Arabidopsis thaliana: one gene and its partners. The protein of the gene in region 2 interacts with the protein of the main gene of each other region in a pairwise test. Each region holds a gene or a part of one and is shown on either strand. Other genes may lie near its edges.

Region 1 (9,816 bases), on a different chromosome or scaffold from region 2:
AAAGTAGTTAATCATACTCCTAAGAGTTGGAACTTTTCGATATTCGTTTAGTTACTAATTTTGTAGTGGAAATCAAAATCCCAGTCTCTCACTTAGTATACATATGTTGTATAAGTCTTGTATGTAGTCCATGACTCTTTATAGTCACACGCATTGGAATGTAACTGATAGTAATATAAAATAAGAAATCCCTGTCTCCCACTTACTAATTGCGTATTCGACGAATCATTTTCTGTTGTATGTGTGATCTCTTAACTGTAATCTCAGTAGTAAATAGATTGGAAAAAGAACCTCGTGATTGGCATTTGCTCTTCAAGTTCCTCATAATCAAGCCTGATTACAACATGAGAGTATGGTTGTCTGGTTATGCAATCTAATTAATGTAAAGATGTATGGCTGAAGGTAACTCTGGAGGCAGAAGTGAGTAACAAAGGAGCATTAGCACTATATGGGCGACTCGGGTTTATAAGAGCCAAACGGCTATACCACTATTACTTGAATGGGATGGATGCTTTTCGCCTGAAGCTCTTGTTCCCTAAGCCTCGTGTACCTCAAATACCTTCTCAAGTTCAAACCCAACAAGAGTATGAGACCTTTCCTAGGCCTCGTGTACCTTAAGGCCATGAACGAAGATGTGTGTTTCTTCAATGTATTCTAAATCCTGAACATGCTAAGACTATGTTCTCTTTCGTATGAAGAAATATTATGTGTTGGTACAATTCTAGTCCCATGTTTATGAAGTATTCTCGACTGGAGTAAGCGATTAATCTGGACGTTTCAACGGTCTTGTGTGTCTACAGAAACAATTTAGCATATTCATATCACTTTGTGGTGTGCGTATATACGTTTTTAAGGTCTCTCAAACTTGGTTGATGATTGGAAACAAAGATCTAAATGTTGTTACAAATTCATATAACCACTTAACTTAACCTAATCGTCTCAGGCTACTCCTGACTTCGAGTTAAGTGGATGATATAGAAATCGAGATGTGAAGTGATTTTCAGCCATCAAAATTTTCAAACAGCTCTATATACCTCAAAAGAAATCCAAGATGACAAAAAATTGATTTAAGGCCAAAGGAGAGAAAGATGCCAGTCAAATGTTATGAAAAGACATGCTTGAATAATTGGTATGAGATATTTTATGAAATACTTTTATTGCATACCGTATTTTACTATAAAACAATTTTCTTTTCACAAACACAACCATCTTAGATTTATCCATGTTAGCCGAGATTTTTTTTGTATCCAGATAGTCCACTTTACAAAAAAAAAAAAGTCTAATATAAAGAAGAAGAAAAGCCTCAAATGTAGTTGCAAAACTCACATGGCCTAAATCAGAACAAATTAAAGACGATTCACCACTCGCCACATAATAGTTTATTGACAATTTGAACCCACTCGTTACCAAGGGTCACTAACCAAACGTTACCAAGGGTCCTACTCCATATCGCATAATATGACTCACATTCACTTCTTCTTTTCTCTTTAACGATTTTATGCTATTAGAAGAAACATTTTTGCAAAGTTCTTTTTTATTTTGACCCCCAACAAAAAAAAAGTCAGATGGAAAGTACAAGAATCGGACTCTGGATTCAAACGAGAATATTAGTTAATAATTTTACATATATAGTTATAATCTTTGGGGGCAAAGTACATGTGAAAGCAGAGCATATGATAAGGGGTAAACGATTGAGTACGAATGGAACGAACACATGCCATATTTAATATGAGGGACAGGAACGGTCCTCTGATCCATTCTTTTGATCAGAGAGAAGATGAAGAGTGTCAAGTAAATAATGGCACGTGACTCGGACGAAGTATCCACGTGCGTCCTCTCCCCACACCCATGTGGCCCATAGGATATATGACCGGCTCCGTCGGTCCAACTTGTCCATGTTCCCCTATTTAATTTTTAAACACACCCTGCCGTTAAATCAAATTTTCCAAATAAATTAAAGTGTTATTTCAAAATTTTAATGTAAACTTAGTAGTATTGTCGCTGTGCTATGATCAAAACTGTATAATTAAAAGATCTAATAGGATCCTAAAGAATTATCTAGTATCGGAAGATATTGTTCATGGTAAAATAGTTTATATAAGTCTAATTAGGATAAATGTATAAGATAAGAATTGTTTTTTGTTACTAAAGACAAGTAAAAGGAGAGAAGACGATACATTTTCTTAGCCTATTGTTTTAACAATACCAAATTAAGAAATCACACACTACATATTATCGACTATTCAATTTTAAAAAAAAAACTAAGGAGTGAAAACAAAAATACAAAACCCCAAAAGAGAAAAAAATAATTAAGAGCTTAGCACGCATTTAAAGGGGTGTGTAAAAAGTACACTATTTTCGTGACTTTTACTCCCTTCACGTATACGAACACAAAACACAAAAGAAGAACAAATAATTTTAAGAACCCTCCACAAACGCATTAGAAGAACCCTGACTCGATCTCTCAAAGACGGTGGTGTAAAGCGGAGACCGGGGCATGTGCGGCGGCTGCAGCTGGTTTACATTGGTAACACTTGGCAAAGAGACCAAAAGTGTCGACTTGACGAACAAAGTTGGTTACACTAGCCCATCCACCGAACCCAAATCCGACTATAAGAACCCAAACCACCACGAAAGCATTCAACACGTACATCGCCGTCCAGCTCGGCATAAAGAACGGTGGCTTCTCCGCCGCATTCTACAAGAAAGATCCAAAACACAAAAATAATCAGAGAACCATTAAAGAAATAGAGAGTGTGTAAGTGTTTTAGAGTTTTGGTCGTATAGTAATGGACAAAATCCAAAGCTTTGTTGACCCATGAGATAGAGAGAGAGAGAGAGAGATATGATTGTGATTTGTCATACTCAGACTCTCACTTTAGATTAATGTTAGGCATAGAGTCCCTATTGTACAGCTCCTTTTCATTTCTGATTATGACTCTTACCTATTCCTCTCCCCTATTTTCCTCTACTTTTATCTTACGTAAATTTAATATACACTGTTTTGAAAGAGAGAAAGAAAAAGAAGTCATGGTCAATTACTAATACTAACCTAACCGGATATTGTATTTTTTCTTCTAAATGTAACCAAATAAAGAAATGGCTGAAACCAACTCAATAATATATTATTTGGAGGGGACGCCAGTAAGGAATGTGGGTGATGATCCTATCTTCCGTAAGATACGGAACACTGAACCCCATCTATCTTCCACAAAAGACGTTTTTGCCCTCCAATTTCACAACCCTACCCCCCAACTATAATATTCCTCCACCGACTCTTCATTTCATTTCTAAAAAATTATTGGTAACTCAATGTATTTTAGGTTAAGTTCGAGTTTTGAAACGCTAAAAGAGAGTGAGCTAGTAAAGATGTTATACCTGACGAGCGGAGGCAGATCGGTAAGTGAGCATGTGAGCGAGAGATGGGATGATATAGACGGTGAAGCTAACAAGAAGAGCACCGACAGCGGAATTGATTGGACCGAAAAAGGGGAAGATAATAGCTAAGAACCAAATAGGTATGACCACAGGCAATCTAGCCAAAGCCCTTAAGCAAATGCTCTTTGTGTCATGCATCCCAATCACTTTCTCCCACACAAAGTACAAAGGTGTACAAGCGAACCCGAACGTTATAAACTGCACGAACAAGAACACGTTGCATTAATCTCTCATGATCAAAATTTACTTAAAAAAGAAAGAACAAAAATGTTGTATGTGTATACCTGATGAATGAGCATGAGGATAACAGCGGCGTCACGCCACGCGTTCTTGGGCATAAGAGAGAAAGCGTTGGAGTGGTCGAGAAGTGCGTCTCCGAAAGCCCAGTAAACGGCGGCAGCTGACGGAATCGTTAGCGTGAACACGTATAACGTCGCCATCAAGTAAATGTACTTAAACTTCTGTGGTTTCCACATAGCATGCATAATCTCACTGCAAATTAGAAATTACTGTTAATATTCATAATTTCATCCAAAACTTTAACTATGTAAAAGATTGGATTCACAACAATCATTGACGCATAAAAAGGGTGTATTTGACATTTCGCAAAAGCGTACTATTCCTACTAGTAGTAGTAGTGCTTTGGTAGCAATAGTGTTTGTTATTCTTTATAGGGATAGGAATAATAATGGTTATTCTATTTTATATTTAAAAAGAGCTTATTTTATTAGTACTACTATTTTAAGGATTGCTAAAAATAATAATGACAATCATGATGACTGTAATAATAGTTACACCTTATTTGCCGGCAAAAGCTGCAATAGAAGCGGCGAAGAAACGATACAGCAGCACCCATAATTTAATAATATGGCACCATTTTAATTTACCATATACTTTTTCTGCCATTTAGCTTTAACTTAAATAGTAATTCAACTATGTCTGACAAAATTTATTGATCTTTTATTAGATACAAAATTAATAATCATTAAGAAATCAAAAGAAGAGTAACTTACACAGTAACCGCGTGACCTCCAAAGGTGTACAAAATATTTGTGGCTCCCGTAAAATAAAGCACTAGCTTTGTTGGACCTGAATGTTTCACACCTTCCGCCTAAAATAAACAACAAAAAAAAAATTTGATTAGGAGAATATTAAACAGCTAATTTTGTCTAAGTTATATTATACATACACTTTTTAATACAAATTTGGGTTAAGATGCAAAGAATAATCCCTGATCTTAAAGAGAAAATACGAATTTTTTTTATTCTTCTTTTTAATTAAGGCATATACTGTCACCTCAATGCAAAGCATATAAATATGAAAACGACAGTGTAGTGATCTTTATAATGTGATGAAATATATTTTTGGTGAAATATATTAAAACATTACCTGGCCGTGGATGATGGAGGCAATGGCTAAGTACCAAGCGGTGTAAGTGGTCATTCCAAGGCCAAGGAATGACCAAATTCGGTAATTGTGAAACGACGGTATAAAGACAGTGGTTGCACAACACGCGCCAAATATGTAAGTCCATGTTCTCTTGTCCAGATGATCGTTTATGTAATAAATGTTACTGCAAGTAAACACCAATCATATTTCAATTATCCTCCATTCTTAATCATTAAAGAGTGATTAAAAAGATAAAGAGAATGATTAAAAGATAACAGACCTGGCACAAGCAATGAGTTGGATAACAGATCCAAACAAGAGGAAAGTGCAATTAAATGCGAGTCCTAGTGCTTTCCAGTATGAACCAAGTAATCCATCAAGTACTTCAAACCACTGTTGAGATTTTTAAAAGTGTTAGATTAGTGAAAGATAATTATGATTTAGTGATTCTGATTAGAGAGAGAGGGTTTAAAGAGGGGACCTGAATGACGTGGTTTTTGAAGCTTTTGCCTTCTTTTTCTTTACGAGCTCTGTATTCGACGTAGAGAACAGAGATGAGATAAGCAGTCCAGCTTCCTAGTAAACCATAGAAGATCTGAAGTACTATTCCTGATAACATTCCTAGTTGACTAAACGAGTACGGTAATGTCAATAACACTTGAGCCACCTGAAACCAACGATAATTACTACAAATCAGATCTTTCTTCACTATGAGAAATCCGAAATTTTGAATCTTTAGTTTATGGTTTTATTGGTTTACTTGGTTAGATGCGCAGCTGAACCAAGCGTCCCAGACAGAGCCACCGTGCCATAGGAAATTGCTTAGGTTAGAACCGGTGGAGCCGTCGTGTTCTTCGTTATCTTTCCCGGTACGGTTTCCGTTTACCTGATCTGTTCCGTTGTCATTTGCTACTATCGCTTCTACTCCTTCCGACATTTTTTTAGCTTCTAGATCTGAGAAATAAAACAGAGCGAAAGAATCGATTGTGTTTAGTAACTAAGTGAAAACAGAGAGGAGAAAACAGAGCACATAAGAGACTGAGAGAGATCTCAATCTTGGAGAATTCAAGAAGATAAAACAGAGAGGGAAAGAGAATTGACAGTTCTTTGTTCACGTTTTTTCTCTTCTTCAGTGTGAAAAAAGAGAGTAGAGAGAGTGACTTACGTTTTCTTCTATTAGAGAAGAGAAAGAATCAGAAGCAAGAAAGACCCAAGAGTGGTTTTTGTCCGTTTGAGCTGTCACTTGTTTCTTCTCTTTTCACTTTTGTTTAAGAAAATCTCAACTCTGTACTGTTTCTTCTGTGTCTTAAAAGAAACAGAGCATAAGAAGAGAAGAACCCAGAAATGTGCAGAGGAGGAAAGAGAGAGAGAAGGGAAGGAGAAGACTTTGATCAGAGCAAAAGAAGGAATGAAGCTAAAAATACTATAAGATGCTTCGGGCTTCACCCCCTACTCCTCCTTTTTATATACCAATCTCTCTTTTTCATTTTTTCTTACTTCTCTTTGGTTTTTTTATGTAATTTTAAAAATATTAAACAGGTGCTGTAAAATCACACCATTAACTTTTGTTTAGGTAACGGTAGCATCTTACTTTTTTTTACGTTTTCGCATTGAATATTAATGTGACTATTTGACATCCAGAATTTCCGGCTTCTTCTACTATCCAATAATAAATTAAAACATAACGCCACATGGGTTCAAAATACATAAAATCGTATTTTACTATATTTCATCTACTAAAAAGCATTAGTTGTGTGACGAAAACGTATCATTTAATTCGAAATATTTAAGATATGATGACAAACAAATAATGCAACGTATTAATGTTTGACGATTTATTGACTTGTTATAGGATATAAATTAAGAGCATACTCAATGGTGGTTTCTAACCATAGTTTCTAATCTACTAAAATAATAATAAAATAAGAAATAATATTATTTAATTTGAAAAGTTTCTAAAAATAGTTAGAAGAGTCTTCAAAATCTCTTGAATTAGAAACTCTCTCACATTTCCTTATAAACTATCTTAATTAAATAATATTATTTATTATTTTATTATTATTATTATAGGTTAGAAACTTTGCTTAGAATCCACTACTGGATTTGCTCCAACATATCTAGATTTAGATATCTTCACTTTTGTTTTTTTTCAACAGCTATCTAAATTTAATACCGTACCTAAAACTAGGATGGACAGATCAATAATCTGCATGTTTTTAGAGTTTAAGGAAAACGTAATCATCCTTTGGTTTGGTTATATGATCAACCACTAAATACAAGTTTTTCACATCATTCTTATTCTAGATTACTAGCTGGAATAATCTATTCTATGGTCTAAAGTTCAAATTTTTCAATTTTTTATCCTACAAAAATTAAAGAGCAGACAAATTTAAGACACCTGATCGTCGACCGAAGGCTCATGTTTTCAGTGATCATGAGTTTGCAAAATACTCATTAGTCATTAGCATTTGCCCATCAAAGAAATAATTGGGTACTACTATACGGCATATACCAAATACTACATGATACTAAGAAATGATTGGATACTACGCCATACTCTCTCTTATACGCATATTAACACATATAGTTGGAGTATTATCATGATGAAACTAGAATTTTCCATGTTAATTATCTGACGGCTAACATAAATCATTTAGAAATAGTTGAACAGTTTAATAATTTTATGTTTGAATGATCTATAACCTATTTTCTAATTATTTCAAGTTAAAATATCTCTTTCGTTTAAATTAGTAAGATAAAAAAATATTGGCAGTAAATATAAATCATTGAATTCATATGAAATCTCAATCCTTAGATGAAATAGTAATGTAAAATAGTATTTTCTACAATGCCATTCCTGGATACATGTTAATTATTCATACTTTCTCCTAAGGTCAAAGGTAGGTAGGCATTAATATATATTGGTCTAATATGAGTCTTACTATTTTTGATACTATAAGTTATAAAATTTTGTTAATAAATTGGATATATATAGTATCATGTTCATTTTTCACTTTGCTGTTTTAAAAATATTATATTGATGTGCACTGTACGAATTCTCACGTAGTGTGAATATTAGTGTGACAACCTTTGTTTCCAAGTTTTGTAAGTAACTTGCTTGCTCAGCTGCTAAACCTCTCAGTGTTCTCACTAGTCATTTTCTCTAATTATATGGCTCGACAATACTTAAATGTTGGATACGTTATCGTAAACTTCCAGCTAAGAAACGGTTTAATTATACGTAGACAAATTGACTATTTCTTGAAACTTTAGAATATAAACAAGTCTACTGATCCATGAAATTTAATCAACTTGCAGAATATTCTAAACAAATATCGTATACTATAAGATACATAGAGCCTATGTATCTAGTGTGTGTATTTATGTAAAGGCGGCAATGTTGCAGGTCTTCTTTAATTTGGTGCAGAAACTGCAGATTTTACCCAACGAGTTGCTTGCTTTTGCTTCTGTTTCACGCAATATTATATAAATTTTAGTTTGCAGTTAATGAAAATAAATTATACAAAACTTGAATTTACAAGCAACTCAAACTTCAGTTGTATATTAGAGCGTCTTCTGTCTTCAAGACTCCAACCCACCTCTAACAATAGGAACATATTTTTCATAGGCATTCAATTATCAACTCCTAAATTCAATAACGAATGGTTAAATATGAAATATCATTGTCTATCACTTCCCCAAATATGTTCATCCCTCCATTTTAGAGTTTTTTTTTTTCATTTGTTTTAATCACATACTTAGCTAAAATTATAAAATAATTGTTTCAAATAATGATTAAAAAATATGTAACTGATCATTAATGTCGATTTTGAAAATAACTCTTCGGAGATGACCTGTTTTTTATGGAGGACACTATAGTTTTTTTTTCTCCATCTTTAAACAATTAGGTTTCTAGCTATCTACATTCAGCATAAAAGTTAGGCGTATGCTATACATCACAACGTTTTTCAGAAATCGACTTAGTTTCTGATATAAAAAAAACACTTCGAAATGATTTGACGGTAGTTTGATCATCACTTGGAAACCAAATTGCATTTCTACTAGACCTAGAAAAATAATCAATACTAATACTTAATAACTAATACTCGGTTTTTAAAGGAGATGGCAATTGTTATAATCGGTTATTAATTTTTTGGTCAAAGATAAACGGTTATATAATGTTTGAAACACCTGTGTGTGTTTTTAATTAAGCCAACTATGAACTTAAAGTTAAATTATAATAAAAAATTGAATTTGTAATTTATGTTGATGGAGAAATTTTATCCCAATTCTTGTCATTTATTCTTTTAATTACATTATATCTATGTTTCTCACGCATGCATAAAAGTCAAAAATTATATTGCTTCATCACTCTCAGAAATTTCTTTCCATAATTCTCAAAATTATTATAGATTTTCACACTCCATCATTCATAATTTTTAGATCAATAATCAGGTGTGTTTTATTTCTTGTTTTCTTGGTTTGAGAATAAAACTTTAACAACAAAAAGAATACGAAATTAAAACATATAGAAAAATGAAAAAGTCTGAACCCAAGACCAAGAGCTCTTGTGTCGGCGTAGGCTGGGAGCGGAAACACTCGAGAATCTATGAACCCAAAGACTTAAAAGTTGCTAAGCAAGTCCGAGCCGAGCCACGAAGTCACAAGCTTTAAAGCTTTGCAAAAGAAACATGCGCACTATGAACACCTGCGCCCCCACACGCCGCCGTTTCATCATTTACAAAGATGCCTTTTTCTCCTTTTTATCGAACGTTTTTTGCCATTGAGAGCCTCCTATCGGCTTGTAGGTCCATTTCCTTTTTCCTACATTTTTATTTTATATGTTTTGGGTCAAATAATAGTTTTCCTCTGTTCCTTTCCATGTTTTATTCACATTTTTATTTTTTCCTTTTCTAAGTACCCTCTTTTTGACGATGTTTTAACAATTTTGTTATTATTTCTTTTATATCTCAATTGTTATGAATTATT
Region 2 (7,024 bases):
TAAAATCAAAAATTCGCATTTTCTCTCTCGCCGGAGAGATGCAACGGTTTCTTCTACCTTTACTCTTCCTTGCACTATCGCCGCCGGCGATTTGTCATTACTCTTCCTCAACCTCTTCACCTTCTTCGTCCTCCGTTTCTTCCGACGCCTCAGAATGGCGTCCAGCTCGAGCCACCTACTACGCCGCTACGAATCCTCGAGACGCGGTGGGCGGTGCGTGTGGATACGGAGATCTCGTCAAATCTGGGTACGGTATGGCTACTGTTGGTCTAAGCGAGACTCTGTTTGAGCGTGGTCAGATCTGTGGTGCTTGTTTCGAGCTCAGATGTGTTGATGATCTCCGTTGGTGTATCCCTGGAACTTCAATTATACTCACCGCTACGAATTTCTGTGCTCCTAATTACGGATTTGATCCCGACGGTGGTGGTCATTGTAATCCACCTAACAAACATTTCGTGCTTCCGATCGAAGCGTTTGAGAAGATCGCTATTTGGAAAGCTGGGAACATGCCGGTGCAGTATCGAAGGTGCGTTTCTCTCCGCTTTTTCCCAATTTGTTTCGCGTTTTGTTAAAAAAATGCGTTTGCGGTGGTGGGGAACGCGGTTCTGCTTTTAGACGCCACTATCGATTTAAAAAATCCGGCGATGCTTTTGCTTTTGTGTCTTCTTCGATATCCGTGTGCTTTATTATGTGAGATGGGTTTACCCTAAATCTCTTCCTCAATATGCAATTTACTTTATTGCCCCTAATCGTTTTATCTTAGTGTGTACAAGATTCTGAGAAATGGTAGATAGGTTTGCTCATCATAGTTGAGTAGCTTTGCTCTCATTTTCATCTTAGCCATGAGAGGACTGAAATTGACTGTTTCTGTGAAGTTCTAGGCACAATGCGGTAAACTACTATTTAGGTTCATGATACAATGGATCATTAGATCCTTTATTAGTTTGTGAAGTGTTTTGGAGCTGAGCCTATAAATAGTTAGTTGCATATCACTTAAGTTATGAGTTATGACTTACAACCATTTTTGTTGGCTTTTACCAAAACAGGATCAACTGTAGAAAGGAAGGGAGCATGCGGTTTACAGTCGATGGTGGAGGCATTTTCATTTCGGTTTTGATCACCAATGTTGCAGGGTCCGGTGATATAGCTGCTGTGAAGATCAAAGGGTCGAGAACCGGGTGGTTACCTATGGGTCGTAATTGGGGACAAAATTGGCATATTAATGCTGATCTCAGGAACCAAGCTCTCTCATTTGAAGTAACTTCTAGTGACAGGTCAACCGTGACATCTTACAATGTCTCCCCGAAAAACTGGAATTATGGACAGACCTTCGAAGGGAAACAATTCGAGACTCCGTGAGACAGAGACGGACACATTGAGATACAATCCCATGATTCTTTTTTTCCGGGTCAGAATTTTTTGATGGCAAGTATATCGATCTTGGTCTAAGGTTATCTTTAGGGTTGAAAAGGAAAGAACTTGGGTCAGACTTTTGCATTTCATAGTTCTCTCTCTCCCACGCATAGGTACAAAAACTCACCAATGTACTAAGAACAGTGATCACACAAACATCACTATTGTATCTATTTGTTTACATTACTAAGGAGCGAAAGCTTCCTTCAAGTGCTTAAAGCTAATGATGAGTACTGAGTCTTATCGTAAAAAGAATCCAAAAGGGTACTGTGATATAACAAGAATCAGAATAGCTAAAGGTTATAACTTCTCAAAGTCAAAAGATATTAAACCTATTATAGCCATGAATGTAAGTTCACTTACTTCTCCAATGTGAAGATCACTCAGGCCAAAAGGATCACCGTGTGTTGTAAAATTCCTATGAACATCCCACTTCTCTTAAAACTCTACAAGAGAACCCCAAACAAAATAAAAGGAAAAAAAACAAAAAAAAAACGTGTCAAGAACTCATAAAGATTGATGAGATTCAATAAGCAACGCATTGAGCATGACATGGACAGCGGCATCATAGACCGCAGAGTCATAATGCATCCCGTCAAGTGTACATTGCGGTCCACAGTTCCAGGTAAACGACTGGATATCAAGCAAGATAAGAGGACCACCCATTTGACGTAAGATCTTACTCTCCCCGAGTGATCTATCATACTCATGCCACACCGTATCACTCATCTTCTCCTTCTTCTCATCCGTATTCAACATCCCGTTGATCAAAACCGGCATCCCAATCCAGAACAGATGCACAGATCTACCGGAGACCGACCCACCTCCTTCTTGCTCCTTTGGCGTAAGGGGCACTAGAGACTCCACATGACTACTCAATTGCCTCAACCTAAAACCAAAATCTGAAGCATTGTTCACATGAAGCATATGCCATAACCCAGTTCCCATGATCACAACATCAGGATACTTTTTCATCTTCTTATAAGATACCACAAGATCATCCAAATCTTTCTCATAAGGAGCCCAAACAAAATCAAGCTTCATCCCAATCTCCTTAACCACAATGCTGTAATCACTATGTCTCCTAAACAAATCCCCTCTAACCGAATCCATAGCCTTGGAATCCGAACCCAAAACAAGATTCAACAAAGACAAAGCCACGAATCTCGCCTGAGAATCACCAGCAACAACAACCCACGATCCATTCAACAAATCCGAAACATCGAACTTATCCAATTTCTGAAACTCACAACTCAAAACTTTCCTCGATTTCATCCAATCCCAGTTCTTCACGAAATAATCAAGCTTTGTTGAGCCATTGTTCCTACGAACAGACTCCGGATTCGGTACCGGTTTAACATCCCAGACAATCTGATTAACCTCGTTGATACAAGAGATACGATGATCGTAGACAACAACAGAGGAAACAGAGGCAACGATGTCGGAAACGGAAGGGAAATAAGGCGTGAGATGAACACAAACCGCGAGAGAAATAAACAAAGCGCCACTAAAGAAGAGCATCTTGTTCCTGCTCAGATGCCAACCAGCCATTGCCATGGGAACGAAGAGGACGAAACAAGCTGCTAATACTCCCAAATGAATCGCTCCTAGCATCTCTCAGACTCAGATTTCGGAATCAGACACATCTAGATTTCCATCTAGACAAAACCAATTTCATCCAGATTCGAATTAACTCTTTTTCTCTATAATTTAAGAAGAAGCTAGGGTTACGGATTTGGTTCGGTGAAGAGAATCTATCAAAATTGAAGGTGAAGATGAAAATTTGGTGAGATTGAAAGGAACAGAACAACCGTAGGCTTCTTCTTCTTTGGTTCGATTTTTTGTATTTAAAATTTTCCATATTTGTAAGATCTCCATTAATTTATGATCTCATCTCTCTGACTCTCAGACATGGTTCGGCTCACTTTAGCCTCATTATGGAACTGGGAACTATTCTAACGTGCGCTCACCGCTGGGAATCACGTGACCGCTTTTAGATTAATCATAAGTTCCTCGGCCCACGGTCAAGCCCATTTATTCACGTGACCGCTTGTAGATTGATCATAAGTTACTCGGCCCACGGGAAAGCCCATTTAGCCCACATCGTTCAACAAATCAATGACACTTTCCTTATGTGTATTTTCATACGTACGATTTCATCTTGGAATGACATTAAATTCTGTAGATCCGCGTTTTCATCATATAATAAATGGAGAAAAAATCATTATAATCATTTAGACTTCTTTTTTTATAGCTAAAGTTACATGTAATTTCGTGATTTTTCTTCACGGTCTTAAGTCTTGGGGATCTTGTAGACTCCGAAATTTCATAATAGTTTCAACCGATTTTTACATATTAACTTTTAATTTATTACTTTCTCATTCTAACCAAATTTATATATTTTTGCCAATGAGGCAATGACCCAATCTAATGGTGGGGCTAATCATAGGACTAATATGTTATTAGTTTATAGAATGTGTGTGAACGTTAAAAAGAATTAAGTAAAGAACCAAAAGATGGATTCATGTGAGGGAAATGTCTCAAGAAGGGTATGTACTATGTACACATTGTAGATATATTAAAGATATATATATATGTGTATATATATGGTGATACAAAGAAGAAAGAGAATATGGAATTTGGAATAATGAGAGAAAAAGGTTATGACGATGATGAGAAAGGCTGAGAAGTGATTCTCTTGGGTTGGCCCATCAATAGCTTCCAAGGATTTATTCACATGTTCACAACTGCTGGATCCCACATGATCATACATATAACCATCTCAAAACCATATGCTTGTTCAAATTTTATATATATATATATATATATATATATATATCTGATCGATTTCATTTTTCCAAATTTTAGATAAGTTTTTTTTTGATAAATCAACTTTAGATAAGTTTTATAGTCGCCTACACCAAATGTGACTGTATGTTCATATGATTATATATAGCTTTCGAGTTTCGACCAAAATGATAAATACTCAAACTATAATTTCTTATATCCATAAGTCTTTGGAGTACGTAATTGGACTTTCGGTCAATAGTTTTTCTATATTGGAACAAAAGTTTTGGTATTTTATATGACGACACTAAATATGGAGAGGAAAGGATTTCTGGCCACTCAATTTTTTAATTTTTGTTTCAAAATCTCCGAAATTTCAATTTTTTTTCCCGAATCACACAACCTTACATTAACAGCCTAATACACTAGAAAATATATGAGCATTAACTGATGGAACGACCATAAAATGGAGTTCATCTTTCTATTCGATATACGATATACAATATGAATATGAGAAACAGAAATAGACATATATAAATGACAAAATAAAATGTAAAACACTACTAGTATAAATTTACAACATCAAGATATCTATTTTTAAAAAAGATCTATGTACGTAGATCGGATGGCAATGTGAAGGGAAACAAAGGATTCGCATGCAAGTGGGTACAAAAGAGACAGTTATTTCAGTTAGAAGTGCCGCCAAATAACAAAAAAAAAAAAGAAAAAAAAGAAAGAGAGATTGCAACAGTTTTGGGTTAACCCAAGATTCGATCTCCCATGCAACCAATAGAAATCTGACAAGTGCACATATATTCCAGACCGACCACTCTCGGAGAAGCATGGGATAATATAATTGATGAAGAAACACGGTTTACATTTAGGGCGGCAATTTTTGATTAATTATTCCGGTTAAGTACCAGAATCTACACGTGATCATGTTATTTGTTAGCATTTTAATTATCTATCAATATAAAAAAAACACTTCGAACAATATTATATATGCGTCGGACAGAAATTGATGAATTGTAAATATTAATTAAATTTTGAATTTTTTTAACATTATATGTTATTTTGGGATGGGGACCTTCCCTTTATTCACTTTTGCATCTCCCTTTTTCATTACCTCTTTATATATAACCTTGCTCTCCAAGCCCTCAACGAACACAAAACATATACCTATTCTATAATCTCTTCTTCTTCCTCTCGAGTCTCGATTCTCTCTCTTTCTTTCTTTGAAATTGATTCAAACAAAATAACTTCAAGAACAACTTGAGATTATATATATGGCTCCTGTCTCGTTACCTCCAGGTTTCCGATTCCATCCAACAGACGAGGAACTAATTACTTACTATCTAAAAAGAAAGATCAACGGTCTAGAAATCGAACTTGAAGTTATCGCTGAAGTTGATCTTTACAAGTGTGAGCCATGGGACTTACCAGGTAATATTAATTTGACGTTTCCCTTGTTTATGCATGAGATCCACTTAATCAAATATGATTTAAATTTTTTGAAAAATATGATTTCTGATCAACATTAATTACGCGATTCTACTTTAGTTATCAAATTCTGCATATATTATTCATTTATATGGATTTAAATTACAACATCTGTAATCGTTAAGAATTATTATTATTTGTCTAAAACCCATAGGAACAAGAGAGATTGAAGAAAAGAATAAGAATATAGCATTGATGAAGAAACCCTAAATATACTTTAGTCTCTACCGGGAAAATACCACATGTGCAATTACACATACTAGTTCTGTAAATAACTATTTTATTATTTTTTTCATCATTTTCACCAAATCTTTTAGGAATTAAAATGTCAAAATAATTTTTAAAAATGTTTAAATATAAAATTGTAACTCATGAAAACATGAATGCCAGCTTAATTGAATCATAATTTTAATTTACGTCATCCAATATCTGCTGATAAATTACGTTACTTAAAGTAATCAATTATGAATTCAATAATAGGGAAGTCCTTGCTTCCGAGCAAAGACCAAGAATGGTACTTCTTCAGCCCACGAGACCGGAAGTATCCCAACGGCTCAAGGACAAACCGGGCAACTAAAGGCGGTTATTGGAAGGCTACAGGTAAAGACCGCCGAGTTAGTTGGAGAGACCGAGCCATAGGAACCAAGAAGACATTGGTTTACTACCGTGGGCGCGCGCCACATGGCATAAGAACTGGTTGGGTCATGCACGAATATCGACTTGATGAAACAGAATGTGAGCCTTCTGCATACGGCATGCAGGTTCGTTGCTAACTAACTGGATTCGACTACAATCATTTTAATATTGTACATAGCATTAGGAAAAACCATCTAAATTGAATTTTATATTTGTAGGACGCATATGCACTTTGTCGTGTGTTCAAAAAGATTGTTATTGAAGCTAAGCCAAGAGATCAACATCGGTCATATGTCCACGCGATGTCGAATGTGAGTGGTAATTGCTCATCGAGTTTTGACACTTGTTCGGATCTCGAAATCAGTTCAACTACTCATCAAGTTCAAAACACATTCCAACCGCGATTTGGCAACGAGCGATTTAACTCCAACGCAATCAGCAACGAGGATTGGTCACAATACTACGGTTCTTCTTATAGACCGTTCCCTACTCCATATAAGGTATAGCTAATATTTCAAAGTTTTAAAATCCATCATTGATTACCCTATAAAGTTTGATACATGACCATCGACATATAACATATTTTTAATAATGGGTTTTCTATATTTTCATTCAGGTTAACACAGAGATCGAATGTTCAATGTTACAACACAATATATATCTACCACCGTTGCGTGTAGAGAACTCT
Region 3 (8,857 bases), on a different chromosome or scaffold from region 2:
GTTTCAAAAACATTTCATGTTAAAAAGTTGTTTTTGACGGGAGGCTCGAGAGAGAGGGACCAAAGATGTCGTGAATGGCACGCGTTTCTTATCCACTTTTCTCTTTTGTACTGTGTTCAAATGATTGGTAAGTACACTCTAGTGTTTTTGTTTCCTGTTAAATTCTTGTCAAAACATTCAGCTTTTTAACTTTTTTACTGGAAACAGTAAACACACCCACACACTCTCTCTATTTACACACACACACACTCTATCTAATTACACACGTGGCATAGTTATTACTTTAGGTGTTGGCCCGTCAAAACGATATCTTAATTATTACCATCGATCCCAAAGATGTGAATTTTGAAAAACTATAAACAAGTTGGAGAAATGATGATTTCGATCATCCCTATAAACAAGCATGCTTGTCTTTTTGTTAAGTCTTCTATCTCTGACATGACGTCAGATTGTTGTTTAGTAGACTATAAGGCCTATTACAATTTGGCCCAACTAAACGAACAAAACCGGCCCATATATATCACTGCCGAAAATATCAAATTTTCTTTAGTTCCTAATGCCTTATTGTTTTGGGTAGTCCTGGACATTCGGTTATCCATTCGGTTATCAGTTTTTTCGGTTTTAAAATTTAGTATCCATTCTGTTAATTTGAAAGTTTGGTTTGGTTTCGGTTCAGTTTTAAAATTTAATATCCATTCGGTTATTTTATTTTGAATATTTTCGGATTTTTGGTTATTTTTGGATATTTTTGAATATTTTCGCTTAATTTCGAATAATTTAACCATTTTGTATATATTTTCAACTTTTTTTAATTATTTACTATAGAAATAACTAATATTTTGAAAATATATTTATATTTCGGATATTTTCGGTTACCCGAAATATTTCGGTTATTATCCATTCGGTTTCGGTTCTTTCGGTTATAAATTTAGTATCCATTCGGTTATTTTTCACTTTTCGGTTCGGTTCGGTTAATTTTGTTTCGGATTCGGTTAGGTACATTCGGTTCGGTTTGTTAGCCCATGCCTAGTTTTGAGGTGAATTTGCCACATGTCAACACTTGATTGCGTAAGTAACTCCTACAAAAGGATATTTTTGTGGGGATAAATACTCGTATAGGAGATTTGATCATACGAAAATCAAATCTGTCCTTGAAGCTCTCCAATAATGAAGTCACAAAGCCATAAGCCATGGAATCTAGTCGCCGGAATCTTCTTTCCGATCATCACTTTCTTCCTCTCGGCTCCTCTTGTCGGCCACGCCTTGTATCTCTTCTGCATGCGTAACGACCACGTTTACTACCGCGACTTCCAAAGTACGTTACCACGTGTACAAACACTCGTCAGCGTCTCTCTCCTCGCCTTGTTCCTCCTTAGCAACATCGGTATGTTTCTCCGACCACGACGGCTCAGCTACTTCCTAGTTATTGTCTTCTTCATAGGTTTTGCTTACTCCGGTGTGTACAAGATGGAAAGCCGGCGGTTTTCTCCGACACCAATGTGTTTCAAGGGAGAATATAATAATGGACAAGGAGAACGTAAAACAGAACAATATCAAGTGGTTAAGATAGAACAAAGTCAAGGACGCTTGCAAAGAGTTCACTTGCGGTTTGTCAACAGCTATGCCTTGCCACCGTATGATAGAAGATTGTTACCATCTGTTAAGGTACTTACGAATCAATTACTCTTTTTTTTTTAGAATAATTATTATTTATTACTTAGATATATATCAAATCTAATATAGGTATCAACTTGTTACAATTTTGGTTGGGATTTAGATTTTATTTAGATATGCCTATTTTTTTTTTTAGTATTTTAGTTTGATTTTTATATCGTTGTTATTGTAAACAATTTGTGGATTTGAATTTTAATAATTTTGGAGGATTCGAGAGGATTTCTTTAGTTAAAAATATAGAAATCCAAATCATATGGTTTAAGGTGAGATTTGAATGGATTTTACAAAAATTATATAGACTTCCCTAAAATTATCAAAATCATTTAAAAACTCAACAAAATTCAAATCACTTTAAATTCTAATTTGAATACACCCGTAGTAGTTTTTAAAAGTATTGTTGGTTTTTGTTCCAAAAAAATCTTTTTATTTATCCAATTAAGATTTTGAAAAATTAGTTTATTTAAAGTACATATATTAATTTGTTTTAAATATTTGAAGCCGTGATATGCAAGATTTAATACCACTAAATCCTAATAAGATATGACGAAAGAGAAAATCTTTTCTTGATATATTTTTAAAAAAGTCATAATCTTTTGTTCTTGTTGTTTGTTGTGTTAGACTGGATGCTGCAATCGGCCAGGGAATTGCAAACTAGAGACGGTCAATGCAACATTGTGGGTTACAAGAAATCGTGAAGGACCACCTTTGGAAACGGCAATGATCTATGATCGTTACGGTGGCAATGCAGACATAAAGGATTATTACGATATGTGGAGACACGAGTTAAGTGTGTTGTACTATGATTGTATGACTTGTCAGGTTAGGATCATTAAGTCTCCAAGGCTGCGCAAATGGTGGCAGTTCGGTGTTTTCTTATCTTCCCTCACCTCTTTGTTTAGATAGATCACAAATTCATAGATGATTTTGATCGAATAGATTAGCGATTTGGTTCAAGAGAGTTGTTATTTTTTCGTCTTTAGAATATATATAGATCAATAAAAAAAAGGTTACAAAGTTATCTTAATTAATTACCAAAAAAAGAAGATAACTCTCTAAAGTAGTAGAGAAGAGAAAGACTTCACCTAAACAAACATAGTTTCGTCTATAAATCATATCACAGAAAACAAACTGCCACAAAACATTTTAACAAAAAGGAAAAAAAATGTGACCACAGAGCGATTTGGTATTCAGTTTCTGGCTTCGAAGAAGTCTTCTTCTTTATCTACCTAAGAACAGATTATCATCTTCTTTGTTCTACCAAAAATCGTAAGGGGGAGGGTGATTGGCAGCAACAGTTTTACTCGCATTTAATCGACCGGTAAATGTGGCGGACGAAGAGGAGAGCAGCGCGGAAGCCAACGGTTCCAAGCATGAGGAAGAAACCGTAACAAATGCAAGCCATGTACCCGAAGAAGAAGGATGTTTGCATGAAACCAGACATGTCTGATCTTGCGTAGTAGTAGTATAAGCAGTACGCATATATAAACAGACCAGTCGATCCACCACATAGGAATGATCTGCAACAAAGAATATTAATAACTATAACAATGTAATTTTATTATCACCAATCCAATTCAAATTCGAATTTAAAATCTACGGAAGGATTTAGTAGATGTGCCTAATCAAGCCAAACTGAAACCCTACGTAAGTAATCAGTTTGAAACTGATACTAAAACGAAACACAAACCATAGCAATTCTAAGCTATTTGTATTTGGTATTATCATTTGGTTTTCTATATTCCATATACCAAAAACCGAATTAAAAAACCAGCTTGGGTGGAAAAATTTACCTCCACCACCATTCATGATCTTCAGCAGCGAGTTGGAAGTAAGTAAGGGCAACTGTTATAAAAGCAGTGACGATCAACAGGATGATGAAGACGATGAAGAGGATGCTGTAAATGGTATAGATACGATGGCCCCAAACACTGGCAAAGATGTAATATAGCTCGATGTAGATGGCACTGAAAGGAAGAAATCCAGCCATGGCCATCTGCGGTACAGCACTCCTGTACCATGGGAGTGGCGGGATCTCCCGAGGATACTTAGTGGTGCGGACTGGAGCTTGGAACTCAGCTTTGCTGTTTTTACCGGCAATACCACCCAACACAAGTAAAGGCGAAGTGACTAGTGTCCATATGAGGACGATCACTATGATGGTTCCAAAGGGAAGAGCGGCAGTTGCACTGTATGCGATTGCAACGGTGTTTAGGAAGCAGAAGGTGAGAAATAGTGGGCCACAGAAGAGACCTCCAGTTAGCAGCAAATTTCTCACCTGAAGAGGAAGAACGGTGAGAAATGAAAAGCTTATCACTTTAAGTTGAAAAGAGTAAAGGGAAAGGGTTTACATACCCAATTCTTTCCTTCGAGTTGACAGTAGAAAGAGGAGGCAGTGTATCCGGCAATTCCAGATGTGAGAGCATAGATAACGACCAAAGCAGTGAAGAGTGCTCCACGGTTGTATGGATAGAACACTCCAACAAGTGAAAGCATGAAAATGAAGATGGTCCTGATGACATATGAGGTATATTACAGTTAGTAATGGCAAAGAATAACTAAAGATAAACGAAGGAGGCTGAAAAGAGACTTACAGAGTGAACAACTGGGTACCGCTACCAAGAGATGCAGCAAAGAGAGATTTGTTCTTTGGGAACCGGAAGACATCTCCATGAATGTATTTCCATCCGGTTTCCTCTTGATCATCAGCAGCTTCCTCATCTTGAGCATACCTTTGAAAGTTAGGGGAAAAGTTAATGGTTGGAAACAAAAGTGTGCATCGGTGAGTCAAGCACAAAGAGTTAGCATTCAAAACTTACTTCATGAAATCATTCTTGAGGACCCGCATCAGGATGGTTGCAAGGAAACCAGTCAAAAGAAGGACAGTGACGCAGGAGTTAATAATGGAGAACCAGTGGATTTCCAAGTGATGTGGAAGAGAAGAAGACATAGCATACTTATCCATTCTTTTCTCAAAAGAAGTCTCAGTTTCCTTCCACTTCACAGTGTACATAAACTCAGCATCGACTTCCTTATCCTCAGTAAGATCCACAAGCGAATGAGGATCCATTCTAGCATTGATTTCAATCACCCGATCCTTATTGTACAAAATCTCAAACTGGATGTGTTTGTAGAGAAAATATTTAAACTCGCTAGGATCAGATTTGCTCTCTTTGTCCACCTTCCCAATGAATCCCCAAATAGGCAAATCATCATAATACATCTGAAAGTAATAATCTTTTTCAACAGCTCTTCGAAAGTGTTCAACTTCTTCTCTACTAAGCTTCTTTTTACAGTACACCTCTGAGTCTTTCTCATCTCTAAAGTTAAGCTTGTATGGAGCACTAACAAGCCTATCCCCATTCAAAACCTCACCAAGAGCTTCCTTCTTATCTTTCACACCCTCTACACAAACCAAAACAAATGCATATTGACACCAAAATACACAAATCCGAAAAAAGTGAAAAACCACACATAACAGAGACAACATTGAGCGTGCTCGTACCTGGAATACAAAAGGGGAGATCGAAATAGCGATACGTCTCACTGCAACAATCATCAAACACAAGTAAAAATCAGTCATATAACAATGCAATCGAAGATCTATCACATTTTAAGAACACGAATCGAATTTTTTCAAGGTCAGATACAAAAATTCAATACCAACGCAAGCTTCTACAGAAATTTGCAACGATCAATTTATCACTCATCAAAGAGAATCACAGATCTAAGCTACCGACAAAGGAACTGAGATTAGAGAATTGGATTTACCTGGGATTGTGAAAGGGGCCGACCTTGTTGGCGTAGAGAGGAACGGAGTCACCGTCCTTGTAACGGTGGTCGGAGGCATCGGATCTGACAGTACCGGCGCCGGAGAAGATGAGAGCTCCGATAAAGAGGAGCAGCGTCGTTGGTAATCTCATGATGATGTGTGTTAATGTGAGAGGAAGAAGAAAATCGTGAGATCTGAGTTTGCTTTATATTTTTGAGAGCAACGCTTATGGCAAAAGGACGATTATATTACTTTTATTTATTTTATCTCTCTTTTTAACGAATTTTCTTCTACTAAATGCTTAAGAAAAAATATTGCGAATAAAAAGCATTATGTAAGAAAATAAAATCTGCGACATTTTAATATTTTTTTTAGAAATTGAAATGATTATTTTTATATATTTTATTTTTGGTTGTTTTCTTAAATCTTCTAAACAAAATTCGTATTAATTCACAAAATTTTAAATTATTTAATACGTTTCGTAAGAAACTTGTGAATGGCAGAGGCAAGTGATATAAACTGAAGCAAATAAAACTTTCTATAATCGATATTTTTTGTTACAATTGTCGTTTTTTTTTTAATAAGTAGCAATTTTCTATTGGTAGAGTGATTCTCTCGTTCTTGTGCTTTCTACTATTTATAGGAGTTTTATTGCATTCCATGTGACTATAACAATCAGTAATGTTCTTTTTACTCTTTAACAAAATCATGATGATGAAGATACAAATAAAAAGGTGGTCAAAAGAAAAAAGATCAATAGTGCCTCGTTTTTTTTTTTCACAATAGTATCTCGTTTATGAAATTGATTAAAGCAAAGCAAGTAAAAAGTATTATCAATTGGAATATAAACCAAATTTTTTGTACATAAAATGAATGATGTAGTAATTTATATACCTGATTATCTTAACTAAACTCAATTTTTTGCAACCAAACCAGATAAATAAGAACACTATAAAATTAAGATGTTAATTACACAGACAATAATTTTATTTATTTATAAAGTTTATTTTTGTAACAGCTCTGATACTTATTGATTTTGCACCTTCTTTGATGGTGGTGGCGAATCATACACTCATCAGCGACCATGATATGTAATCCATCAACGAGTTCTCTCTGAATCTTCTCGCCTGGAACCAGTTTTCCAGAGCATAAACATAAGCCTTAGAACAAAACAAACATCTACTATCCCCTGAACTACTAATGATAGAGTAATCAATGTAAACTCTTTTCCTATTGTAGAATTTACCATTAGACAAATTATTATGCATGTTGTTAGCATCTCTACTCTTGAAAAATCTTCGTAAGCTGATTGGAAAATCAAAGAATAACAAACTAACTAACTAACAATCACTACTCTATAAGCAAATCTTGAATACCAATAGAGATTCTTTATGTTGGATTCTATCTTTGAGCATTTCATTAGGATCGACGGTTGGTCGATTAATCAATACTAACCCAAACAGTCTTTTAACATGCACACTTGATACCTTGTAGGTGCTTCTGGGTAGCATGAAAATGATAATTGGTGTTATTCTGATATGCGAAATTGAAAATGTTGTTGTGCATCAGCTAAGCATAATTGAAAGTTTAAAAAATATTATAAATTTAACGTGAAGAATTGAAAGGTATCAGATTAATGTTTTGGATCAGCCGAATAGAGTCAGGCTAATCCAAATTCTCAAATATTTTCGAAACCTTAAACACATCAAACTCCACGAAGTAAACACACTCACACACATATCAAAATCCACATTATAAATGTATTTTTGGTAGGCTAGTCGTCTAATTCTAAAATAGCCAATTTACATTTGCAATTGTTTATTCAAAAAAGTACAACAGTAAGAGGTCTTATCAATTAAATCATAAGAAAAATATGTCCCAAAATGTCAAAAAACCAACTACGAATATTTCTTTTCCTTTTAAGGCCAAACCAGGTTTTGGAATACTTATTACAAATAAACTCAATTTCAATAAATTCTTGTACACAAATTAAGCACTAATTTCATTGTGAAGATACCATAGTCACATTCACATCTATATGACATCAATCTATAAAATCCAAAACAAACTATATATTATATTTATATTATTTTTTTGTCATCATTATATTTCCATTAATTTATCTAATTCTGGTTCTAATATACTCTTGGTCAGAAAAAATATAAACATTGAAGAATTGGTCGGCTGAAAATTGTGAAAAATATATAGCAGAAAAATATGATAATGTTATCATAAACAAAATTAATAGTAAAATTTAATTTTAATTTAACACTACAGTACTATACACGTGTGTATGTATAGCTCTATAAGTATTTACTCTCTTTCAGCTATTTATTTTTTCAGTGAACGAGCATTCTTCTTCTTCCTCTGTGTTGTTGCTTCTTAGATATATTCAAATAAAATGACGACTGTAATCGACGCGACGATGGCGTATAGATTTCTGGAGGAAGCGACCGATTCGTCTTCTTCTTCTTCTTCTTCCAAACTAGAATCTAGCCCTGTCGACGCCGTTCTCTTCGTCGGAATGTCTCTGGTACTCGGTATTGCTTCTAGGCACTTGCTTCGTGGAACTAGGGTTCCTTACACTGTCGCTCTTCTCGTTATCGGAATTGCTCTTGGATCTCTCGGTTCGATTTCGTTCCATGGAATTTCTGATTTCTTCATCTGTTTTAATCCTTGAAGTCAACGTAATCATGCTTAATTGCTAATTCATGTTGTTTGGTGTTTCAGAATATGGAGCTAAACATAACCTTGGAAAGATCGGCCATGGAATTCGTATCTGTAAGTTTTTAGTTTCGAATTTTTCTTCTCTTCCATGGCTGGCTTTGTAAGAACTATAGAATCAATGTTATTGTGCAGGGAATGAGATCGATCCAGAACTTCTTTTAGCTGTTTTTCTTCCGGCTCTTCTTTTCGAGAGTTCGTTTTCAATGGAAGTTCACCAAATTAAGGTTTATTCCTCTGGCTCTAATTCCTAGTTAAGCTTAAAGGTTAAGAGAAATAGGTACTGAATACTTGCATGATTCTTTAGAGGTGTCTGGGACAAATGGTGTTACTTGCTGTCCCTGGAGTTCTTATTTCAACAGCTTGTCTTGGATCGCTTGTGAAGGTATGAATTAGCCTGGTTGGTATTAAGTAGCTGTCCTGAAAACAAAGAAAGACAAATCGATTATTATGTTATGAAACTATACTTGCTATATGCAGGTCACGTTTCCGTATGAATGGGACTGGAAAACGTCCTTGTTGCTTGGGGGACTTTTAAGTGCTACTGATCCGGTTGCTGTTGTTGCTTTGCTAAAGGAGCTTGGTGCTAGTAAGAAGCTAAGCACCATAATTGAAGGGGAATCCCTGATGAATGATGGGTAAATGACGTTATCTTCTGTCATGGTTTGGTTAGTTTTGACATTTATGCTC
Region 4 (6,612 bases), on a different chromosome or scaffold from region 2:
TGATAAAGCTCCATCGTAGCAGCCATTTCGGACACAATCACTTGCCCAAGATTCAGTTTGGTCGTACTTTCCTCCACACAGTTTTCTTTCTTTGAGTCAGTGGCTCCATCATCCATTCCTAGATTCAAAGCAGCAATATCATCCTTTACCTTCAAATCCCTCTCCTTAAACAGATCTATTTTCTGTGATCTAATGACCATCTGCAAATGCGACGCATAGAAACAATCCCCGAGTGGAGGCTCCGCTTTCAACTCTTTCTCAACCATAAACCACATCAGTCCAGCCCAGTCCAGCTTATCCAATTGCTTTTTCTTTATACCTTTCATCCATTCCACCACTTCATCTGGCATCATCCACGCATCATCACAATGCAGTAGCATCCAATTAGAGATAACATCTTCAACAACACTGATTGATTCATCTGATTCCAGAAATTCCTTATCCTCATCAAGAATGACAACACGTTCTTTCTTATTAGGCAACTTCAAAGATCGAGCCAAATCCGCACGACTAAGTTTAATCCTAGACCCGTTTATATAGCTGCACTTACCTCCAGCACTATAGGAAGCTATAAGTTGAGCCACAAGATCATAATCCATATCCTGATCAAATTCCAAATGCACAAAATCCCACAATCCGAGAGTCTTTAAGAGACTCTCATAACAAGCAAAATCTAGGGTTTTTAATGGCTTGAAAGGTACAAGCTTTAATGTTTCAACAAGTACCTTGAGCTTCTTCTTAGACTTCTCTTCTTGCTGCTTACGTTTCTTATCGTTACATTTCTTCCGCTTTGGCCCACCACCGTGACAACTAAAAGAAAAGCTCATGGCTTTTGAATCCAGAATATCAATCTCGTCTTCCTCACTCAACTGTTTCTGATCACTACCGTTCTCCTGCGATTTCCTCATTTCGTCCGACACTGACTCTAAAATTCTGATTTTGTTCGGAACAGAATGTGTCTCTGAAGCTTCAGAGACTTCTTCCTCCAAAGTAGCTTGCTTAATCAGGTTTCTTAAAATAGTTACTGTATCTTGCTCTCGAGATGCAAAAGGATTCGCCGGAGGATCCATGACTGGGTTTTGTTTTCCGATCTCCTCCTCTTTCAGAAATTGAAAAGGTTAAGGAGCTAAAGAGTCTTTTTGTTTACTAATTAACCATAATTAATATGCTCCGTCATCAAAAACAGAGCAGCTAAAAACACTTCATTAGAGGCCCATATGTATATGGGCCGGAGTTTAATACGGCCCAAATCAGTATAACCGAGTTCAATAACCGGTAAGAATTAAAATATTTTACATTATTCACCCAAATCTTTACATTAATCACAACAAACTCCAACATCTATTCGACTCTTTCAAATTCACACTCTTCCTCCTCTTCGAAATCTCCGAGTACAAAATCGATCAATCTCTCGGAAAATGATCGTGTATTCTCTCTCTCAGCCTCACTGCTTCCTAATGAATCTCTCTATTTCTCCTCATTACGGTTGCTGCTACTGCGGAGTTTGGTGGGGAGGTATTAGAGACGGAGCTTTGGTGCGTGGCGAAGAACAACGTTGAGGATTCAACACTTTAAACGGCCATTGACTGGGCTTGTGGTCCCAGAGGAGCTGATTGCGTCTAGATTCAGCAAGGTGGATCCTGCTACGATCCATTGGATATAGTGAAGATGGCTTCGTATGTATTCAATAACTATTATCTGATGGAATGGTCTCGCAGATGAAGCTTGCAACTTTAGTAACAACGCAGCTGTTACTTCTCTCAATCCTAGTAAGTTCACATTTTCTTTCAGGATCAATGTCTAGCAGATAGTTATGACTTTTGCTAATTGAAAATGTTGAAAGTTTGATGCTTTTTCTGCAATTTTTCGTTTTCAGGTCAAGGAACATGCAAGTTTCCTTCAAGGTAATTAAGTAATCCACATTTGTATTGCCAATTAGCGTTTGTGTGTGTGTCTCATTTATAGTCTGTTTGGAGCAATTTTGATCCATCATAGGTTCTTTTAGAAAATGATTTCTAGTTTGATGGGTTTTGAACTTTTGAGTGAAATGAAATCTTTTTTTTGTTTTTTTCATTAGCTTCTGGCTTAGAAGGATGAAGTTACTTCACTTCTCCTCGACAATTGATTTTGATCTTGGTGATTATATTGTTCATATTATCAATATGATGCAGTTACTGCAGAACATAGAAGAAGTTTCAAAAACTATTAAAGCAATTTTTTTGAAAATGTTCTCATTCTCCATGAGGCTTCGTTTCATTGAGTATAGTAATAGTTACACTCATGCTGTTGAAATCTGGTGTGCAGTAAGGGAGTGAGCAATGGAAGTATCGCAGATGCCACTTCAATGCAGGGAGCAACTGCACCAGAATTCTCAGATTGAGCCGAGCAAGGCGGATGTTTAGCAGCTGGTTGTCACCCTTCGTCATTTTAGGCCACATTGTGACAATGACACTGATTATCCAACAGGTTTAGCTTCCGATTGGTGATTGAAGGTAACCCTTTTATGATCTCTCTTCTCCCTCAGTTTTATGTAACTAAAATGGTTCTGCATCTTTTATGGAGCCCTGATATGTACTGTCTACCACTGTGAATAGTTAACTTGAATGGCATGAACTGCACCAGATGTATCTTTTGACTAACATATATTTAGTGTTCCGTTACACAAAACTATCTAAAACCAAAAACAGAGCATGATATAGTAAAAAAGAAAGGAGGATATTGTATAAATTAAAGATTATCGATATGTGTATATGATTTATATGCATAATATGTATCTATATGTCGACTCAATGTCTCTCAAGATCTGCCACACGATCTTGGTCAGGACAAGAATGGTTGATCCTGTTCGAAGATCTTTCCCTCGTCAAGATTTTCCTAAACGAATTTAATCGCGAAGCCGGGGATACAACTGTTTTGTTATCTGAGGAAGAAGAGGATGCGGCTTCTACAGTCAAGTTCAGCCTGGTTTCCACCAACAACTGCGGTGCAGTACCGACTGGTCCTTCCCTTGGCTCAGGCTCAAGTCTCGGTCTTGGCTCAACTTCAGTCCGACAAACAGGACAAGTGGAGCAAGTGGTGAGCCACGTGTCAACACAGTCGACGTGGAAGATGTGCTTGCAGTTGGGCAACTCTCTCGCCTTGTCTTGCTCCTTTAACACGCTTAGACACACTGCGCATTCAGTAGCGGAGGCAGCCACGCCATCAGTGGCTCCAACAGTGAAAGTAGGGAGAGAAGCGATGACTGTGGGATTGAGGCCACGCTTAGGCATCTCAAAAGGGTGGCGGAAAATGACGGGGAGGCCACGGAAAGCTTCTCTACGGCGTCGGAGAACGAATCTTGCGTAAAGATGAAGAGCGAAGACGATGAGGATAACTCCAGATAAAGAAGCCACTGCGGCAAGCATGATCTTGCTGTTAAGATCGTAAGTAGACGGATTAGGCCAGAATGAGTGGTGGTCAGAGTTGAACCTGCGATGATCTCTGTCGTTGGAGCTCATTGTGAAGCTGGTTTTTCTTCGGTGGATGCAAAAGAAAAGTGAACAAAAGAGTTTACTAACTTATGATTTATTATATAAGGAATAAAGGACTTATAGAATTTCTTATTTTGATTGTTTTTCCAAGGCTTATACTTTAGTTGGTGGGTGGAGAAAAATGTGAAGTAGATAGAATTAGAAACTTTGGGAGATAGGTAGACTTTCACGAGGGTTTAGAAATTTCACCATTGTTGACTAAATGGTAGATTGTAGATTATTTATAGGTGATAGGTTTGAAGATTATAGACTGTATATATAAAGAGTGGAAAATATCAAAATCCTACGTAAAAAATTTGTGGACTGAATTTGCCTATTATGATTTCACGGTATTAGGAGTTAACTCGCATATATAGACTGAATTGTCTACCATCATTTCAGTGTATCAAGAGTTAGTTAGTCTCATATGCTGCAAATAGTATGGTGCAAATTGGTTTATCCAAGTAGATATATATAGATAAATTCATCTCTAAACATAGAATGTTAGAGTTACATATGATACTGCTATCAAAATTTTAAAATATGATAATACAATTTATTTTGTCAACAAAAAATGATAATATATATAGTCAAGAAAATACGAAAATTAAAGGTTAAAACGTGTGAGCCTGTGAGGATACGTGTGGGAACCACAAAGTTTGACTTGAAGAAGAGTCGTCTATGTAGGGCACACACGCATTAGATATACCTTAATAACAAAATTGTCTCGATTGTATGTTACAAGTTCAACTTTCTTTTTTTCTTTTCCCCTTTTCACACGTTAAGCAATAAGCAACAATGTTTTTGTAATTACTGTAACATACAAAAAGTGTGCCATTCATATTTACACATACAAAAGATTTCAGTACAAGAATAAAAAGTTAAAAGGAAGAAGAAGTATTATGGTTCATGAATTAAGGATTAATTATGGATGCATGTGTGTTTATACTTTTTTTTTTTTAACCGGCGTATGTGTGTATATACTATATACTGAATTCACTGTCTTTCAATATCCAATTCACGATCTTGGTCAACGCGAGAATGATCCCGCCTGTTCGAAGATCTTTCCCTTGTCAAAATCCTCCGGAACGAGTCTAACCTCGAAACCGATGATCCGCCGGTTTTGTTATCAACCCCCGCGAAATCTAACGGCGGTGCAAAGTCGCCAACTGGCCCTTCCCTAGGCTCAGGCTCAAGCCTTGGATGACTTGGCTCGGCTTCAGTTCGACAAACGGGACAAGTGGACTGCGTGGTGAGCCACGTGTCAACGCAAGACACGTGGAACACGTGTTTGCAGTTCGGTAACATCCTTGCATTATCTTTCTCCTCCAATAAGCTTAGACAAACCGCACATTCCGTACCCGCCACGTCATTCTTGATTCCAACCACGAACGTTGGGAGAGAAGCGATGACTAGAGAATCGAGGCCACGTTTTGGCGGCTGAGAAACGACAGAGAAGGAGAGGTCTTGGAAGGCTGATCTACGGTGGAGAACGAATTTTGCGTAGAGATAATAAACGAACACGATGATGATAATAATAGAGAAGGAAACGGTGGTGACGAGGAAAATCTTGCTGCTGGCATCGTAAGAAGTCGAGTTTTGCCAGAAAGAACGGTCGTCGGAATCATCAGTTTTGTTGTTAGAGCTCATGATGAAGCGTTTTGTTTTGGTAGAACAAGAGACAGAAAGTGGTTACTATAATCTAATAACAAGTTACTAATAGATTGAATGGATCTCATGTTGTGTAATTAAATTGTTTTTTATTATTTTTTCTACTTTTGTTTATTCTTCATAGCTATTACTTGGATTCAAGGGACATACAATATGATTGGTGGGTGTGAGAAAATAGGCAGCAGAATACTCATAAATTTTCGAAGGAAATTGTTGACTTTACTCGGATTTGTTATCATTTTCTTAATTTTAAATTAAACTTTGGAAATTCAAAAAATAATAATATAGGATTGCAATATTCTTTATACCGTAATACATAACATGTCGACAGTGTATATGAGAATTCTAGATATATGATGATACAATTTCTCCCAATAATATGACAGGACTTAATGTAAATGGAGCATAGTCAAGAAAATACGAAATTTTAAAGTTATAACGTGAGGTATGGAGCGAGGCTGCGTGTGAGAATCATATGGTTTGACTTGAAGAAGAGTATTCGAAGTAGACAAACATGCTAATCTATTACAAGTTGTGTGAATATATTAAAAATTCAACTCTCTTTTTAATTGTTTTTTTTTTTCCACACGTTAGCTCTTTTGTTTCCTTGTATATACTTGTAGGAAAAAAGTCATTGTATTTTGATGATATATCTTCAAAACATATTATATTTTATCTTTTTAAAATTATAATTAACAATGAAATAATGACTTTTTCTCATTTAAGATATTTGTACTTTTCATATCTCACTGGATTTGGGTCTCATTTTTTTTATGTACATAAAAAGAACTATGAAACCAAAAACCTTCCCGTAATCAGGTGTAGTTTGATTATCCTTTTTATGTTTTTTTTTTGTGGGTAAATTTTTTTATAGGTTTTGAGTATCTTATAAGGTATATATATGTATAAACAACTTAGTTTAATAAATATACTTATATATATATATATATATATTATAAGTTTCTTACCATTTTCTGAAGATAATTATAATAAACATTGTAATTCAAAGAATAAAATGTTGATGTTTGTTGGATCCCAATTATAATAAAATGATTAATAAGAAAATATAATATGTTATCATTTATTTTGGGATGTCAAAACTCATTTTTTTTGTTAGATTTTTATAAAGATTCTGTCATATAAATAATTACTTTAATTTTTAGTAGATTAGAAAGTAATATCTTTCGAATTGAAATTTTCAATGCATATAAATATAAACTAAAAATATTTGAGAATCGAAAATATTAGTTTTGATAAGTATATATAATGTTAAAAGTGTGTTTGGTTGTTGGTTTTATAATAATCAAGAATAAGGATAGTAGAACTAAAATGGTTTGAGAAGAAATATAATAGAATTAAATAAATCTATAAAAAAAAAAGAAAACCGAAATTAATTGTGGGGTTGCTAATTGGGTTGATGTGAATTAAAATG

What was found.
Region 1: the proteins of AT3G03210 (region 2) and AUX1 interact in a protein complementation assay, tested with the Arabidopsis thaliana proteins (one large-scale study listed by BioGRID).
Region 3: the proteins of AT3G03210 (region 2) and AT2G01970 interact in a protein complementation assay, tested with the Arabidopsis thaliana proteins (one large-scale study listed by BioGRID).
Region 4: the proteins of AT3G03210 (region 2) and AT2G42360 interact in a protein complementation assay, tested with the Arabidopsis thaliana proteins (one large-scale study listed by BioGRID).

Annotation. Positions count from the first base shown.
Region 1 is NC_003071.7:15,969,441-15,979,256, reverse strand, and holds AUX1 (Transmembrane amino acid transporter family protein), read right to left. Parts: upstream 6,382-9,816; 5' UTR 5,993-6,381; intron 5,782-5,992; 5' UTR 5,765-5,781; coding exon 5,588-5,764; intron 5,495-5,587; coding exon 5,309-5,494; intron 5,221-5,308; coding exon 5,108-5,220; intron 5,012-5,107; coding exon 4,828-5,011; intron 4,550-4,827; coding exon 4,452-4,549; intron 3,931-4,451; coding exon 3,723-3,930; intron 3,637-3,722; coding exon 3,379-3,636; intron 3,291-3,378; coding exon of another isoform or gene 3,285-3,290; exon of another isoform or gene 2,699-3,284; coding exon 2,465-2,698; 3' UTR 2,077-2,464; downstream 1-2,076. Other genes in the region: ATMAK3 (Acyl-CoA N-acyltransferases (NAT) superfamily protein), read left to right, coding at 403-618. UniProt on the Arabidopsis thaliana protein: Carrier protein involved in proton-driven auxin influx.
Region 2 is NC_003074.8:736,990-744,013, reverse strand, and holds AT3G03210 (Pmr5/Cas1p GDSL/SGNH-like acyl-esterase family protein), read right to left. Parts: upstream 3,311-7,024; 5' UTR 3,028-3,310; coding exon 1,921-3,027; 3' UTR 1,705-1,920; downstream 1-1,704. Other genes in the region: EXPA13 (expansin A13), read left to right, coding at 39-526, 1,047-1,359; NAC045 (NAC domain containing protein 45), read left to right, coding at 5,487-5,643, 6,181-6,461, 6,555-6,836, 6,953-7,024. UniProt on the Arabidopsis thaliana protein: Component of the plant cell wall polysaccharide acetylation pathway. Does not directly catalyze O-acetylation of xyloglucan but exhibits weak acetylesterase activity in vitro.
Region 3 is NC_003071.7:449,226-458,082, forward strand, and holds AT2G01970 (Endomembrane protein 70 protein family), read right to left. Parts: upstream 5,735-8,857; 5' UTR 5,595-5,734; coding exon 5,443-5,594; intron 5,218-5,442; coding exon 5,177-5,217; intron 5,077-5,176; coding exon 4,491-5,076; intron 4,404-4,490; coding exon 4,266-4,403; intron 4,184-4,265; coding exon 4,027-4,183; intron 3,950-4,026; coding exon 3,465-3,949; intron 3,192-3,464; coding exon 2,972-3,191; 3' UTR 2,633-2,971; downstream 1-2,632. Other genes in the region: TET14 (tetraspanin14), read left to right, coding at 1,168-1,665, 2,293-2,577; SOS1 (sodium proton exchanger, putative (NHX7) (SOS1)), read left to right, coding at 7,845-8,070, 8,174-8,224, 8,303-8,394, 8,475-8,552, 8,648-8,805.
Region 4 is NC_003071.7:17,637,792-17,644,403, reverse strand, and holds AT2G42360 (RING/U-box superfamily protein), read right to left. Parts: upstream 3,607-6,612; 5' UTR 3,498-3,606; coding exon 2,787-3,497; 3' UTR 2,614-2,786; downstream 1-2,613. Other genes in the region: AT2G42370 (uncharacterized protein), read right to left, coding at 1-1,070; AT2G42350 (RING/U-box superfamily protein), read right to left, coding at 4,506-5,159. UniProt on the Arabidopsis thaliana protein: E3 ubiquitin-protein ligase able to catalyze polyubiquitination with ubiquitin-conjugating enzyme E2 UBC8, UBC10, UBC11, UBC28, UBC29, UBC30, UBC35 and UBC36 in vitro.